3 linked regions of the Macaca fascicularis genome follow. The protein of the gene in region 2 interacts with the protein of the main gene of each other region in a pairwise test. Links are inferred from orthologs where the notes say so. Each region holds a gene or a part of one and is shown on either strand. Other genes may lie near its edges.

Region 1 (4,635 bases), on a different chromosome or scaffold from region 2:
ATTAAGGGGCTAGAAGTATCTGTGGGGAGTTACTGTATTCATTTTTCATTGCCTCTTGATGAGAAGGGCCCTAGCACCTGGCACCAGGGAATTCTCACCAGAGAAATTATCACAGGTCAAGACCTATGTGGGTGGACGCATTACTCTTCCTTTTCCTCTGGTTCCACAGCTGGGCCAACAAAATGGAAGCCTTGACTAGCAAGTCAGCTGCTGACGCTGAGGGCTACCTGGCCCACCCTGTGAATGCCTACAAACTGGTGAAGCGGCTAAACACAGACTGGCCTGCGCTAGAGGACCTTGTCCTGCAGGACTCAGCTGCAGGTGAGGGATGGTGAGCAGGTGCTTGAGTGAGCCCATATGTTCGTGTGCTCATGCCTGGGCTGTTGTGTCTGAGCCTGTCTTGGGTCTGGGTGTTGGTGGGCAAGTGCATTATACAAACAGGACCCTGCTGGTCTCATGGCTCTCTCCCTTCTCTGTGGGGACCTGGAAGTTGGCTGTCCTTGGTTTTTAACGTCTAATGATGGTTAGTTCTTTTTTTAGCGTCCTTTTTTTAGTGTCTGTCTTTTCTTATTTTTTGCTAATGACATTTTTCCGATTATACTTTAGTGATACATGTTTATAGAAAAGTTGGAAAACACAAAAACAAGAGAATTATAATTCTTAATCCAATTGCCCAGTGGTGAGCATTATTAAAATTATAGTTTTTCTACCTATGCATATACATTAAAAAAATGGAACTATACATACATACCAGGGCATGCAAACTCAGTTGCTTGAAGGGACAAATGAATTTACAAGTGTCAAGTGGGCTGGATGGTGGGACCAGGGCAAGTTGGGGAGCATAGGTCTCATCTAAATTCATTCCTATTCATATCTTTTACAAACAAAGTGTATCTGATGGTAGATTTGTGACAGAAGAAAAAATTCTTTCTGAATTTCACCATGTTGGCCAGGTGAGCTTCTTTATATGCTATTCAGTGTTCCTCTGCAACGTGGTTTTAATGTCTGGATAGTGATTACCTATCAGATGGTGATAATCTGTCATAATACTGTCAAATGGATCAAGTAATTGGATATGGGATTTTTTTTTGAATTATCAGCACCTTTTTACATATTTCTTGGTGTATACTTCTGATTTTTTTTAAGGGTAAATTCTTAGAAGTCATATTTATAGGTCAGATTGTGAACTTTTTCAAAGCTTTAAACTATACTTGATGCTTTTGTTGTGATAATACTTTTTATGCCCTAATACTTTCCTGTCAATAAGAAGAGATGGTAGGGTGGGCCTGGAGGTGGGCTCTCCTAACTCCTAGCCCTGGGTTTAGTCCTCTGGACTCACTGCCTTTTTTTTTTTTTTTTTTGAGACAGAGTCTCACTCTGTCACCAGGTTGGAGTGCAGTGGCGTAATCTCGGCTCACTGCAACCTCCGCCTCCGGGTTCAAGCAATTCTCCTGCCTCAGCCTCCTGAGTAGCTGGGACTACAGGCACGTGCCACCAAGCCCAGCTAATTTTTTTTTGGTATTTTTAGTACAGACAGGGTTTCACCATGAGTTGGCCAGGATGTTCTCGATCTCTTGACCTCGTGATCCACCCATCTCAGCCTCCCAAAGTGCTAGGATTACAGGCGTGAGACACCATGCCCAGCTGCCTTTTTTTTTTTTTTTTTTTTAAAAGGGACAGAGTCTCACTGTATTAGCTCAGACTGGAGTGCAGTGGCTATTCACAGATGCGATCGTAGCACACTGCAGCCTTGAACTCCTGGCCTCACGTGATCCTCCTGCCTCAGCCTCTTGAGTAGCTGGGACTATAGGCACAGAGCCACTGTACCCAGCTCTTCACTGCCTCTTTTCCCTGAGTTGTGAGTAGTGATTAACTTCAGACTAGCTGTCTCTCTGGCTGAGACATTTTAGCCCATGTGGCCAGACTGGGTTGGGCTTGGGGGCAGGGTGGCCTCTGGAGAGGGATTGGTGAGCTCAGCCAGGCTGGAGCTGTGCCCAGTGAGCTCACTGCCTCCAGAAACCACGTCTGCCTTTCCCAGACTCCCGCCTCTCCGCCTGGGCCTGCAGCTTGGGACAGGCTGTTCTGCCTGCACGGCAGGAGACTAAGCCTACCCAGATGACCTCCCCTCTCCAATCTTGTTCTCCACACCCTACACTCACACCATCATCTGGTTCCTTTGGAAAACCTTATGATTACCTAGAAGGAGTTAGGTCAGGCCCAGAGAATAATTGGTTGTTTTCATCTCTGACTTTTGAGTTCTTGCCCCTGAAATGAATGGGGCATGCTGACAGTGTGGCTTTTCCTGGCAGCATGTTCCCCTACCCCCACCCCACCAGATTCTAAACTCTTTAGAGTCCCTGACCATGTAGCTATGAAGACAAGGAAGGCAGGGTTACAGCTTCTTGGTCCCTGTCCCCAGTTATAGCTGGAAGTGGATGTTTAGGTCTGAAGTCATAGGTGGCAGTGGATATAGCTGCTCTTGGGGAGAAGTTGGGGAAGGAATGGCCTTGTTCCCCTCTCATTTCTCAGCTTAGAGGCAGAATTGAAGGCCCTAAGTCACCCTGGGAAGGCTTGGCTCCCACCTGGAGCCCTGGGATTGTGGGAGGTACACATCTTACTTTACAGCTAGGGCTTGGAGTCCCAGAAAAGCCTCCTTGGAGTACTTCTGTGGTCAAAAGCTCTCCCAGGCTTCAGGCTGTGGTCTTGAGCACCATAACTGGAGAGCCCATGCCCTGAACTCATTGCAGGTCTGAGTGGTGGGAGTACAGAGGAGAATAGGCCCACCATGGTCTCTCAAGGGACTGACCTTGCTGGGCTGGTGCAGCCCCACCTTGGTCCTTGGCCTGTCTAGGTGGTCCCTCAGCTGTCAACCTAGGGGGAGGGGGATGACCTCCAGGACTTTCATCATCACCTTTCTGGATGATAAGTGCCAGTGGTCAGTAATGAGTGGCCAGCTCGGCTTCATTAGTTAACTGTCATTGTCCCTTGGACTCCTCAACTTGAAATGTGGGCTGGAAGTCTGTGTTTACCTGACTGGCCCAATTACCCTGGATCAAGGTTTTTGATGGGATTCATTTTCCACTGAGTGGTTGACAGTTCTTCCCTGAGTCCTCTCCTGTGCTCTTCTCAGTTACCCTCTCTATCCTCTGTTACTTCTGTCTCCACCAGCTCTGACTGAATGCTTTGGAGCCAAGACTTCTAGACTCCTAAATATTAACTAATATGGGGGGCTGTTTCTACTTAGTTCCAAAGAGCAGCACGGGCAGTAGGTACAGTGAGGACTAAGAAAGGAAAAGTCCCCATAGACTAGATCAGGGACAACTTCCTGGTGGAAGGGGCAACAGCCTTTGAGGGAAGGGGCGGGGAAATTTCACTAGCCAGAGACCCTCTCTGTGGCTGCCTCTCTGGTCCCAAGTGGAATTCTGCCCCTGGATCAAGGGTAATCTCTTGTTCTGACTCTCATTTGGAAGGTTTTATCGCCAACCTCTCTGTGCAGCGGCAGTTCTTCCCCACTGATGAGGATGAGATAGGAGCTGCCAAAGCCCTGATGAGACTTCAGGACACATACAGGCTGGACCCAGACACAATTTCCAGAGGGGAACTTCCAGGTAACTCACCACTCCAGGCGTTGCCTGTCCTGCATGTGTCTCTTTAGTGGCAGGACAGGTTGCAGCCACCACCGACTTGTGGCCTCTACCCTCAGGTGCACCTCTGGTGTACCTCTTCGCTCACCATTTTGTGTTGGACTCCCTCTCCCATGACAGGTTTCTCCCTCAGCCACTGCCCTGCCACCTCCTTCCATGTATTAGCCAAGGCCCTCTCCTCTCGTGTCTCAGAGAAAGCCAGAGTTGCTGCTCAGGAACCCCCTCTGCCTCTGTCTCCAGAGCACCGCACAGATCTGCATTCAGACCTGCTTCCTGTCTCCCACCCTCCAATGTCTTTTCATCTAAGACTGATCTGGGCTTAGTGTCCCCCTGTCCTGAGTCTTCTTAGTTACAGTCTCTGCTCCTATACATTCTGTCTCCACCTCTCCGGGTTCTACCCTTGAGCTCACATATAGGCTCTATTCTTGCTCATCTTACACTTGCCTCCCTCAGTATCTGAGACTCTTTTGAGTCTTTGCTGCTGATCCATCTCTTCTTCCATCCTGGTTAGGCTACTGGATAGAGTAATCTATACTCTATCCACTTTCCTGGTTCCCATATACTCCTGAACTCACAGTATCTGGCCTTTTTCCCCCCTGTTCACTGATCCTATTCTTGCAAGGTCATCAGTGGCCACTTGGCTGGTAAACGCAGAGAACAAGGTTCACACATAATGTTCTTTAACTTCACAGCAGCATTTGACAGATGGATTGCCTCATTCTTCGTGATATTCTCTCCTCCTTTGAATTCTGGGATACTGATATCTGCTTCTCTTTTAGCCTCTCTGGTCATTTTCTCTCAAGTGGCCCATCTCCCACTGACTTCCCAGTGTTAGTGTTTATAAGAAGATGTTTTGAGGGCTACTGGAGACCAGTAAACCCAGCGATTCACTGTGTGAGGCCCATGCAGACCCAGCTTATTCCAGCTCCAGAGCCCCAGCTGCCCACTTTAGACTCCATTAGAGAGAGGGCAGTTCAGGGCACCTGCAAGA
Region 2 (5,315 bases):
GAGATGAAGAAGGGCTCTGGATTGCACAACTGTCCCCAGCAACTGAGAAAAGAATTTCTCCCCTCATCACTATCCTCACCAAGATGCAGGTGCTGCTACTGCTCGTTTTGTTTGATATCTCAATCACCATGGCCTGGAGTTTCCTCAGTTGATGTAGAAGGGACCTAGAGGAAGAGAGGGGCCAATGGTGAGCATCCCCTGGCCTAGCACCCTGAGACACAGTGAAACTCCTGTTCAGGCCACCTCCTCCATCTCTGCACTGGATCCTCTCTCTTACTTTTCATTCTATTTTTGCAAACGACTTCGTCCACTCTGGAAAAAATGCCTGAAGTTCCTCATTAAAACAAACAAAAAAAGCAAAAACAAAACAAACTCTTCCAGGACTTAACCTCCTTTGCAAATATCATCAGTAGTTCCCCATTGTCTGATCAGCTATGCACATAATCCTCACCGGGCATTCTCTACGTTCTCTACCTTCTGTCCCAGCTCACATGTGTTCCAGCCCAAGAGGACTATGCTGGGCTAATCCTCTTGCCTAGGATGCTTTCTCTCTGCCTAGAATGCTTTCCCAACCCAACCCCAGAATCCTATGAAAGCCCATGAGGTCTTTCTTACCCCCTTTCTTTTTCTAGGTACTTAGCTTATTCTCAGTTACTTATAAATATATTCCCCACTACTGTGAGCTTCTTAGAATCAGAGACCTAGTGAAGGCAGCCACCCTGTTAGAAATCAAGTGTAGGGCAGGGGAAAGAGTGAGAAAACATTAAATGAGGAGCGTAGGAAGGGAATGGTTTGGAGGGATACTTACAAATTCTGTTCCTCCAGAAGCTGTACTTTGTTCTGAAGCTCCATATTCTGGGCTGTGTATTTCAAGACCCTGGGGGAAATAACAAAGATATGGGGATATGGCCTGTGTCCTCCCTTCAAAAACCTAACACTTAAAACTGAGTCCCTCTCCCTTTCATACCTGCTCTCTAAACCCCCAACATACACCTTCTTTTTCCTGCGGCTCTCTTGAGCAGATCTTTTATTTCGAATCTTCCTCCGCACACGTTTCAGAATTTGTTCCTCCATCTGAAAGGAAACAGGGAAAGGGGTATCATTAGAGGGACTCTAGAACAAGAAGTTGAAAGGCAACTGAGATCCATCTCTTTCCAATACAGAAATCCCTTCTACAGCTTCCCTGACCAATAGGCATTCACATTCTTTCTGAATGCCTCCACGGAGCACGTGTTAACCCTAACAAGCCAGACCATTTTAAACTATTAAAAAAAAAAATTGGTCAGGCAATATTCAAGTGACATGGCTCATGCCTGTAATCCCAACACTTTGGGGAGCTAAGGCAGGAGGACCGCTTGAGCCCAGGAGTTTGAGACCAGCCTGAGCAACACAGTGAGACCTTGTCTCTACTAAAAATAAATTAGCCGGGTGTGGTGGCACATGCCTGTGGTCCCTGCTCCTCAGGAGGCTGAGGAAGGACAATCGCTTGAGCCTGAGAGGTCAAAGCTGTAGTGAGCCATGATCTCACCACTATTCTCCAACCTGGGCAGTAAAGCAAGAATCTGTCTTCAAACAAAAACTTCCTTATCCTGAACCAACAGCTGTCTCCTTATAATTTCTATACGTTGGACTTACCTAGTATCTCTGGGGCCAAATAGAATGAACCCTGTTAAGCTATTTTCAGGCATTTGACATTTCCTCAGAGAAAAAAAGTTCAAGAAAAAAACAGCTTAGACAAAAATTTTAACTCATCTTCTTAGGATAGACTGCATCTTCTTAGTATCTGTCAAAGATGTGCTCTAGCCAGTATAAAGGAAAGCAAGATAGTGACTTGTGGAGACAATAACTCTTGCTACAGTTTCCAAATCCCATTAACTTTCCTAGTAGCCACATCGCACTGCTGACTCATCTTGTACTTTGAAGGAATTAAAATTCTTTACTTTTGGAGGCCAAGGTGGGTAGATCACTTGAGCACAGGCGTTCAAGACCAGCCTGGCAACAAGGCAAAACCCCATCTCTACTAAAAACACCAAAAAAAAAATTTGCCGGGCAGGGTGGTGTGCACCTGTAGTCTCAGCTACTCAGGAGGCTGAGGTGGGAGAATCACCTAAGCCCAGAAATTCAAGGCTGCAGTGTGCCATGATCACATCACTGCACTCCAGCCTGTGCAACAGAACAAGACCTTGTCAAAAAAAAAAAAAAAAATTCCTGGAACCTTTCTATTAATGAGCACTGATTTCATCATAGTATCCCAGTACTCTGCTTGTGAAGTTGCCACTGATTGCTTAAAACTGGAAACTAAGGATTTTGCATTTATTCATGTACTGCTTAGTCCAATCGTGTTGAACTCTCTAAACAGTTCTACCATTCAGCAAGAGGTGGATTACTATGAAGCCAATGAAGTGTCAAGGCCCTTCACTTACACAGTCCTTTCCAAGGCCCAATACTAATGTTGCACTGATAATTTTGAGGGTTTTTTTTTGTTTGTTTTTTAACAGAACACCAAAATTTGTGTAAGCCCAACGAAAATGAGGATCTGCCTTGCATCTAGCATATTGGGTACCTGCCTCAACTTCCTATTAGCAATAAATCTGCTAAGTTTCTCACCTCAATCCTTTTTTAAAGTTATTGATATAAAGTTAACAGAATTGGCCTACTTGAGACTTTTAATCCCTTTTCAGCCTTTGCTCAACTAACGAGAGTCTTACCTTAGTGAGAGGAAGTGTCTCAGGCAGAATAAGCCCCTCCTTCTCCAATAGACTCTTCTCCTCATCTGTCAGTACCAGCCTAACAATATCCTAGGGTAACCAGAAAGTGGGCGGCAGTTGCATGGGGATGTCACAGAGGAATGGGGAATCCTGCCCCCACCTGAGGAATGTGAGAGTAATCTTCCTGAAAATCAAGTCAAGTACCTGCTCTGCCAGCTCCTCCATATGCTGTGGAGTCATCTGGGTCCCCTCTTTTCTACAGCTCTCACTCTCTGCAAAAGGGAACGTATGAATAGCCAGGCCCATGAACCCTGTCCTCCCCGCAAACTTATTTCAGACTCACCTAGATCCATAGAGACAGGTTCTCGTGGGAGGGAGTAGGTGTGGTCATGGTGGACAAGGCAGGGGTTGGAGTTGCTGAGAACGTTCAACGACGACGCTGGGGGACTCAGCAGGGAGCTCAGCAAATCATCTACCTCCCAGTCGCTCGGTACCTGCGCAGGGTTCCAGTGAACAGGCCTTGACCTATCACCATCCCCTGACCTCATGGACATCCCACGCTTTCCCCAGTCAGAACCCCAACGCACCTCAGAAAGCGGCAGCTCCCAGTCCAGTGGGGCCCTCACGGACTCATCGGGCGCCGTCCTCAAATCTCCACTTTCCTCTAGCAGGAAGCCCAGTAGGTCTTGGTCACCAGCGTCCAATTCCAGCTCCATTTGGGACAACTACGGAAAGGGTGGGCTACCGGGCCCCAACGTCCGAAGCCCAGACACGAGCCCCAGGCCAGCTGTAGGCCTCGGGCACCTATCCACTGTCCCTCTACGGCCGGGCTTCCCGGCCGGGGGCTTTCCGTAGCCCTCTCCGGACCCGCCTCCCAGGCTCAATTCTCCTCAGCCTCCAACGCAGCGAAAGTGACGCACCCCACCCCGTGGCACTGTGGGACTTGGAGTTCCCTCCAACTGAGAAGAGGCCTGGGTGCCGCGCCACGTCCCAGGGGCTATGCAAATGTAGGGGACGGCCCTGCTGCCGCCTCGCACCCCGAGGGCGGGGGTTCCAGGGCTCCGGCTCCGCCTTCTCCCCCAAGCTAGAAAAAGGAAGAGTTCTGGCCTGAAAGGGAACTCGGGCGTCGTCTTGGCGTTCTCTCCGGATTGCGCCGCACCCTCGCTTCCTGCCAGGGAGGGGCTGCCGGCCTTTGGCGGCCCCCGAGCATCGAGAACGCGGCCAGAGCAGCTTCCTGCCTGCCCCCCGCGACCATAGAGCGCTGCCCCAGGGCGCCGCCCGCGGGTGGGGGACGTTCCCAGGACGGAAGTGGCCGAGAGAGTGTCGAAGGGAGGGCGAGGCCGGAGCCCGAGGGCGACCCGAGAAGCGGCAGGGCAGCGGGCCGGCGGGCCGGCAGGCGGGGCGCAGAGCCGGGCAGCGCAGGTAGGCCAGACCGGGCCGGGCGGGGGCCTTAGGGTGGGGCCGCGGAGCCTGGCCCCGGGGGCGGGCGGGGCCCTGCCTCTCCTGCGTGTCCGGTTCGGGTTCTGTTAGTTGGAGAGGTCAGCGTCCAGCGCATCTCAACTTGGGCTCATCGTGAAGTAGGCCGTCTTAGGGGAGACAGGCCTCTCCTGGGGGCAGTCCTCTGCCTGGGATAGGCTTTGGGGAGCGTGAGGAGTCGGGTGGCAGCGGGGCGCAGGACGGGGACGGGCTTTGGTGTTAGCTGATAGCGGCCATGTGGGTAGGAAAGCTTTGGGTGAGTTGGGGATTAGGTGGGGTCCGTTTAGGAATCAAGGGTCGCTATAGGAGTTAAAAGCTGGGGTTAAAACTTAAGAGTTAGTAGTGTGAGTCAGGTCCGTTTTAGGTAGGTAAGGTTTAGATTAAGGTCATTATTTTGTTTGCTGGGATGGCCATCATACGTCATAATTTGAGTTCAGGGTCGGGTTAAGGGTCAACAACAGGAATCAGGTTAGAGCCTGTTTGAGGGATTAAAGAATGTTGACATGGTCGGTATTAAGGATAAACAGTGAAAGTGTGAGTTAGGAATCAAGTTACAAATGAACTTTAGGCTTAGGGGTCAACATTTAGGGTTAACATCAGGCGATTTGGTGCTAAAGGTAAAACTTAGATCAGTATCAGGGATCAGGGATTGGATATGAGTCTCTGCTGGGAAAGGGATGAATGTCCAAGCCGGTAGTGGGAATCAGGAAACAAATTAGAGGTGGGGTTAATGTTAGGAATTTGGGGCAACTTTAGGGGTTGTAATTGAGGCTAGCATAGTTGGCCTTGAGCAGATGAAATTTAAGAGGTTGGCAGTAGGTAAATGCCCTTCTTTTGTAGGGAAGTCCTTTATTCCTGTGTAGTTACAGGGGCTTCTTTTCACCCAGAGAGATAACAAACTAATTTCAGGCTAGTGTTCTGGCTTATTGCAGGCATCTGGGATTCCAGCATCTTTATTCCATTCTCTAAGCCTAAGGCCCTTGCTGTGGCCACCACAGTTAGGGGACAGAGATTCTGGACTATGTTGTTTACATACAACATAGGTGGGAAATAGGGACCCAGGATGTACAAGGCCTAGTCACAAGTTGGAGACTGCCTAGGGAAGAAGGAGCTGTTGACTATGGGGGAAGC
Region 3 (4,635 bases), on a different chromosome or scaffold from region 2:
ATTCAAGGAAGCACAATCGTTACAAAGGGGACAGCCTGTGCAGAGGCCCTGATTGGGGGTGTGGGGAGCTGGGACCAGTCTGGTACAGAAGGAGTGTAGGGATCAAAAGGCAGAGGGCCCTGCCTGAGGCTAAGGAGGCGGCCAGGGCTGAGCCAGCTGGGATGAGGAGTTTGGGTTATTCTAAATGTACGAAAAGGCCATGGAAGGTTTATAAGCAGAGGAGCTACATGACCTGTGTTGATGTTTTAGGAGGTCAATCAATAATACCTCCATTTCTAGTGGAGTTTGGAAACAGAAACAAGAGTTCAAAATCTCAGCTGATTTCTTCCTGTAAAAGCTCAGTGGAGCAGATAGCTTTAGACCTGGGCTGAATTAAGCAAGCCTGTCTTCCCCTCGCCCATTAGACAACCACAAGCTTCTTCTACAAAGCAGGGCCTGACCCATAAAAGTTGCTGCATGGCTGGGGGAGCTGATGAGAACCTGTGCTGTCTGTAGGCAGGTAATTTCCAAAGAGGACCCAAAAGAGGTTGGATCTCTTTCTTCTTCCAAAGTCAGCAACTGCCCCAGAGAGGAGTGAACAGATAGTTGGGCTGGAGACCCGGTGTGTGCAGTAGTGGAGATCCTTCTGCACTGGGACGGGCATGCTACCCAACCCCTTTCTCCCCGCCCTCCTGCCCCAGACACCTTTACACACATGCATGCACATTCCATGATCTGATGATGATTTTCAAGATCTCTCTGTAGTCTGAAGCTGGATGTGAATGCCCAGGTGCTTATTATAGCATCGTCTATACTTTGTTATATGCCTGACACATTCCACAGTTTTCGAAAGCTGTTATTACGGAAGTCTAAGCAAGAAATAATAGTGGCAGTGAGATGGATAAAAGAACAACCTGGGGAGGTAAAATGAATAGGACTTGGTATTTGGTTAGGTGTCCAGCAAGCGAGGCAGAGGGTAGGGTTGCCAAGATCAGCCTAGGAGCAGTTGGGAGTCAGCAGAATCTGTCTTTACCCATATTTTGCTCACAGACATTGTCCACTTGACCCCCTTTCCAGGCTTCAGCTCTCCGCTGTCTTCGGTTAAAGCCTGTGCCTCCTGGTTCCCAGGGTTCTGCCTGCACGCAGCTCTCTGGCTGCTTTAAACGGCAGTGCCCTGTGGCCCTTCCGGGACCAGGACCTCAAGTCTTATGAAGGGGTAACTGGTAAATCTGTTCATTACTAACTATACTGCAAATAGATGGATTGGTCTTTATGATTTTTAAAGTGCCTTCCCACATGTCAAAGCGTAGAAATACTTAATAGAGTATAAAGGCCTCCAGAGTTATCTGCAAGCTGTGATTACTTTAAGAGTAGCCTTCTAAAAACAGATCTTATCCCTTCCTTATCTAACTCTACACAGTGTATTCCAGAGTAAAGAAGAGGGTGGGGTGGTTGAGACATTTGAGTTGATGGGACGTGGCCGTGCTCCTTAACCTAATATATAACCTGCTTCAGCCTAAGGGCATTTCCCTCTGTCAGCCTGCGATTCTCTGTGACAAGAAGGTGCTGTTCCAGAGTCCGGGAAGAGACTTCATCTTATTGCAGGGCAGTTTGTTTTTTTTTTTTAAGCCTTATCTTGACTCATCCGTATTGAATTTTATCCTCCTTTCTCCAGATTTCCCATTTACACAGCATAATCTCACATCATACTAGTGCTCAAAAAATAGAATTCTTAAAAATGTTTGTTCAGCTTTGCAAGTTGAAACGCATTTTATCTGAGAAGGAAATCTGATGTGTGGTGGGTTTCAGAAGAGACAGGGAAGCTCTTTTGCTCTCAGGAAGTATTTCTGGAATTTAAAACTATTATAGTTTATAGGAATTTTTTTCAGCTGGCTGATAATAGGGGGTGAATATTTGCCAACTCTTACTACTGCCTATCAAATTAATTTTGGGAAGAAAGGATGTGAAATGTAGAGATTCCCGATAAATGTTATCATATTGTCATGCAGTCATATGATAAGATATTAAATTACTTAGAAATATGTATAATCAAAAACAAAGATACTAGAAATGGAACCAAAATTCTTAAAAGCTTTGTAATTTTTAATATTTAAATTATGTAGTATCTGATATATTTTGGGGGAGGGGAGTTCTCTGTTCTTTTAATTACTGAAGTTGGGTGCTTTTCTTCTTTTTTCTAGCGTAACTATTTAAGGCTTTACATTTTCCTCTAAAGTTCAATTTTTACATGGTATATTTTCATTATCATTATGGCACATTAAAAAATTATATTATGATTTCTTCTTTAATCCATGATATTTAGAAATGTGTGTTTAAATTTCCAAATCTATTGGGAATCTTGTATTTGTGCTTTAGTTACTGGCTTTAATATTGTTGCCCTGTGGTCAGATGACATGATCTATGTCATACCACCTCTTTAGGATATGTTGAGCCTTTGTAAAATTATTTTGCTTCTCATTTTAATGCAGCTTTTGCAATTCACAGCAAAGCAGTTTTGATTTATAAACTCAAATACTTGTCCATTTTCCCTCAAGACCCTTAAGTTATTAAAACTTTCTCTTTTTTTTACTGAGCAGGACTTATTAGTTGTCAAGGTCATATCTGTTCTCTTCATTTACCGGTGGAATCCTAGAAGCAAGTTGATTTCTAGAGTTTCACTAATTATTCACTTTTTAAAATAGGAGTATGCTGTGAACTGCCATGTGATCACCTGGGAGAGGATTATCAGCCACTTTGATATATTTGCATTTGGACATTTCTGGGGCTGGGCCATGAAGGCCTTGCTGATCCGTAGTTACGGTCTCTGCTGGACAATCAGTATTACCTGGGAGCTGACTGAGGTAAGAAGGAGGGCATTGGGGGTTCCCCAGACTGTGCCGTGTGTGTAGGTTTTATATATAGGAAAAAGTATGTCCGTTAATAGTTAATCCATTCTCCAGCCCCTGTGGTACAAAATATATTTAAACCATCCCATAAGAATATTTTATACTTCTGTTTAAAAAACAAGCAAATATTTAAAAAAACCTCCTTGTTAACTTAATAAAGTATACCTTGGTCCTGCAAGTGTTAAAGAGAAACAAATGAAATAAAGCTAAAGAATGAAGTTAAAATTCCAAGTAAGACAAATAAATGGGAATGAGGAGATCTGCTTAGAATTCAATAGATCAGTTGACCTACTAACTAGCTTCCAATTTGAGATAATAGAATTTTGTGTTCAAGTACTATAAGAGCATCCAGGGTATTTGGTAGCTGCAAAATGGATTCTAAATGTTAGCTCTAATATGTCAGTAATCAAAAGTTTGTTGCATTTCCTTAATAAAAGAATTATAGTCTTGAAAAACTATTAGCAAAATGAAATTTTGGGAACTACCTCTTTATTGTTCTATTATTCTTAATCATTCCCAGTGAACAGCATTTGGCCACATGCACAGTATACTTCTCCATGCTCATCATTGTCCTGACCCTAACTTAGAGACGTGTGCCAGCTAGATGTGGCTTCCGTTAATGTGCCTCTCACTGTTCTGGAGGCCAGAAGTCCAAGATCAAGGCATTGGCAGGACTGGTTCCCCCTGGGGCCTTTTGGAGCATTTGTTCCAGGCTCCTCCTCTATCTTTGTGGTTTGCTGGCAGTCGTGGTCCCTGGGCTTGTTGATGCATGGCCCCTTCGTGGTCACGTGGCGTTCTCCCTGTGCATGTCTGAGGCTTCATGGTGTTCTTTTTTTGTTTTCTTTTTTGAGATGGAGTCTCGCTCTGTCGCCCAGGCTGGAGTGCAGTGGCGCGATCTCAGCTCACTGCAACCTCCGCCTCCCGGAGGGTTCAAGTGACCCCTGCCTCAGCCTCCCAATAGCTGGGACTACAGGTGTGCGCCACTACACCCAGCTAATTTTTTGTATTTTTAGTAGAGATGGGGTTTCACCATGTTAGCCAGGATGGTCTCAATCTCCTGTCCTCATGATCTGCCTGCCTCAGCCTCCCAAAGTGCTGGGATTACAGGCGTGAGCCACCGTGTCCAGTCCCATGTGTTTTTCATAAGGACACACGAGCATTCCCTTTTATAAGGATACAGGTCACATTGGATTAGCAGCTCACTGTACTCCCTATGACCTCATCTTGACAAAGTACCTCTCCAATGACTCTATCTCCAAATAAGCTCAAATTCTGAGGTATTGGAGGTTAGGGCTTCAACACTGGAATTTTGAGAGGACACAACTCAACCGATCCATAATAGTGCCCAACACTTTACATATGCCTTCTAAGTCCTCACGACAAACCAGGAAAGGCGGTGTATACAGATTCCCACTGTACAGATGGGGGAGCTGGAGCGCACTGCCTTGCTTCCTTAGGTGAGCCAGGATTGGATTCCAGATGTGAAGCCCACATTCCTGCCCTTACACCACATTCCGCCTCTGAATTCCAAGCGTCTTTGGAACCCGGCTGCTGCATGGGCTTGTGTCAGGCACTTGGCCCTTGTCGGCCTCACTTGCTTCCTGCTTGCACTGCAGACTCGGCATCTGCTGTACCTTCTTTCCCTACTTCCCAGTGCCTGTGGTCGCCAGGCCCTATAGATTTCTATAGAGTCTTCTAAGCACCCAGTCGTCCACTGACGTCTCTTCAGACCTCTGCTCCCACTTGTCTC

The links.
Region 1: the proteins of CREB3 (region 2) and P4HA2 interact in a two-hybrid assay, tested with the Homo sapiens proteins (2 studies listed by BioGRID and IntAct). The two-hybrid records come from large-scale screens. The link is inferred for Macaca fascicularis from reciprocal best matches to the Homo sapiens genes CREB3 and P4HA2.
Region 3: the proteins of CREB3 (region 2) and PTDSS1 interact in a two-hybrid assay, tested with the Homo sapiens proteins (2 studies listed by BioGRID and IntAct). The two-hybrid records come from large-scale screens. The link is inferred for Macaca fascicularis from reciprocal best matches to the Homo sapiens genes CREB3 and PTDSS1.

The regions. Positions count from the first base shown.
Region 1 is NC_088380.1:138,743,001-138,747,635, reverse strand, and holds part of P4HA2 (prolyl 4-hydroxylase subunit alpha-2), read left to right. Parts: intron 1-169; coding exon 170-321; intron 322-3,470; coding exon 3,471-3,608; intron 3,609-4,635. UniProt on the Homo sapiens protein: Catalyzes the post-translational formation of 4-hydroxyproline in -Xaa-Pro-Gly- sequences in collagens and other proteins.
Region 2 is NC_088389.1:63,664,430-63,669,744, forward strand, and holds the start of CREB3 (cyclic AMP-responsive element-binding protein 3), read right to left. Parts: upstream 3,625-5,315; 5' UTR 3,425-3,624; coding exon 3,296-3,424; intron 3,203-3,295; coding exon 3,052-3,202; intron 2,981-3,051; coding exon 2,913-2,980; intron 2,799-2,912; coding exon 2,709-2,798; intron 1,075-2,708; coding exon 968-1,074; intron 878-967; coding exon 809-877; intron 165-808; coding exon 80-164; intron 1-79. UniProt on the Homo sapiens protein: Endoplasmic reticulum (ER)-bound sequence-specific transcription factor that directly binds DNA and activates transcription. Plays a role in the unfolded protein response (UPR), promoting cell survival versus ER stress-induced apoptotic cell death.
Region 3 is NC_088382.1:105,966,462-105,971,096, forward strand, and holds part of PTDSS1 (phosphatidylserine synthase 1), read left to right. Parts: intron 1-2,681; coding exon 2,682-2,840; intron 2,841-4,635. UniProt on the Homo sapiens protein: Catalyzes a base-exchange reaction in which the polar head group of phosphatidylethanolamine (PE) or phosphatidylcholine (PC) is replaced by L-serine. Catalyzes mainly the conversion of phosphatidylcholine.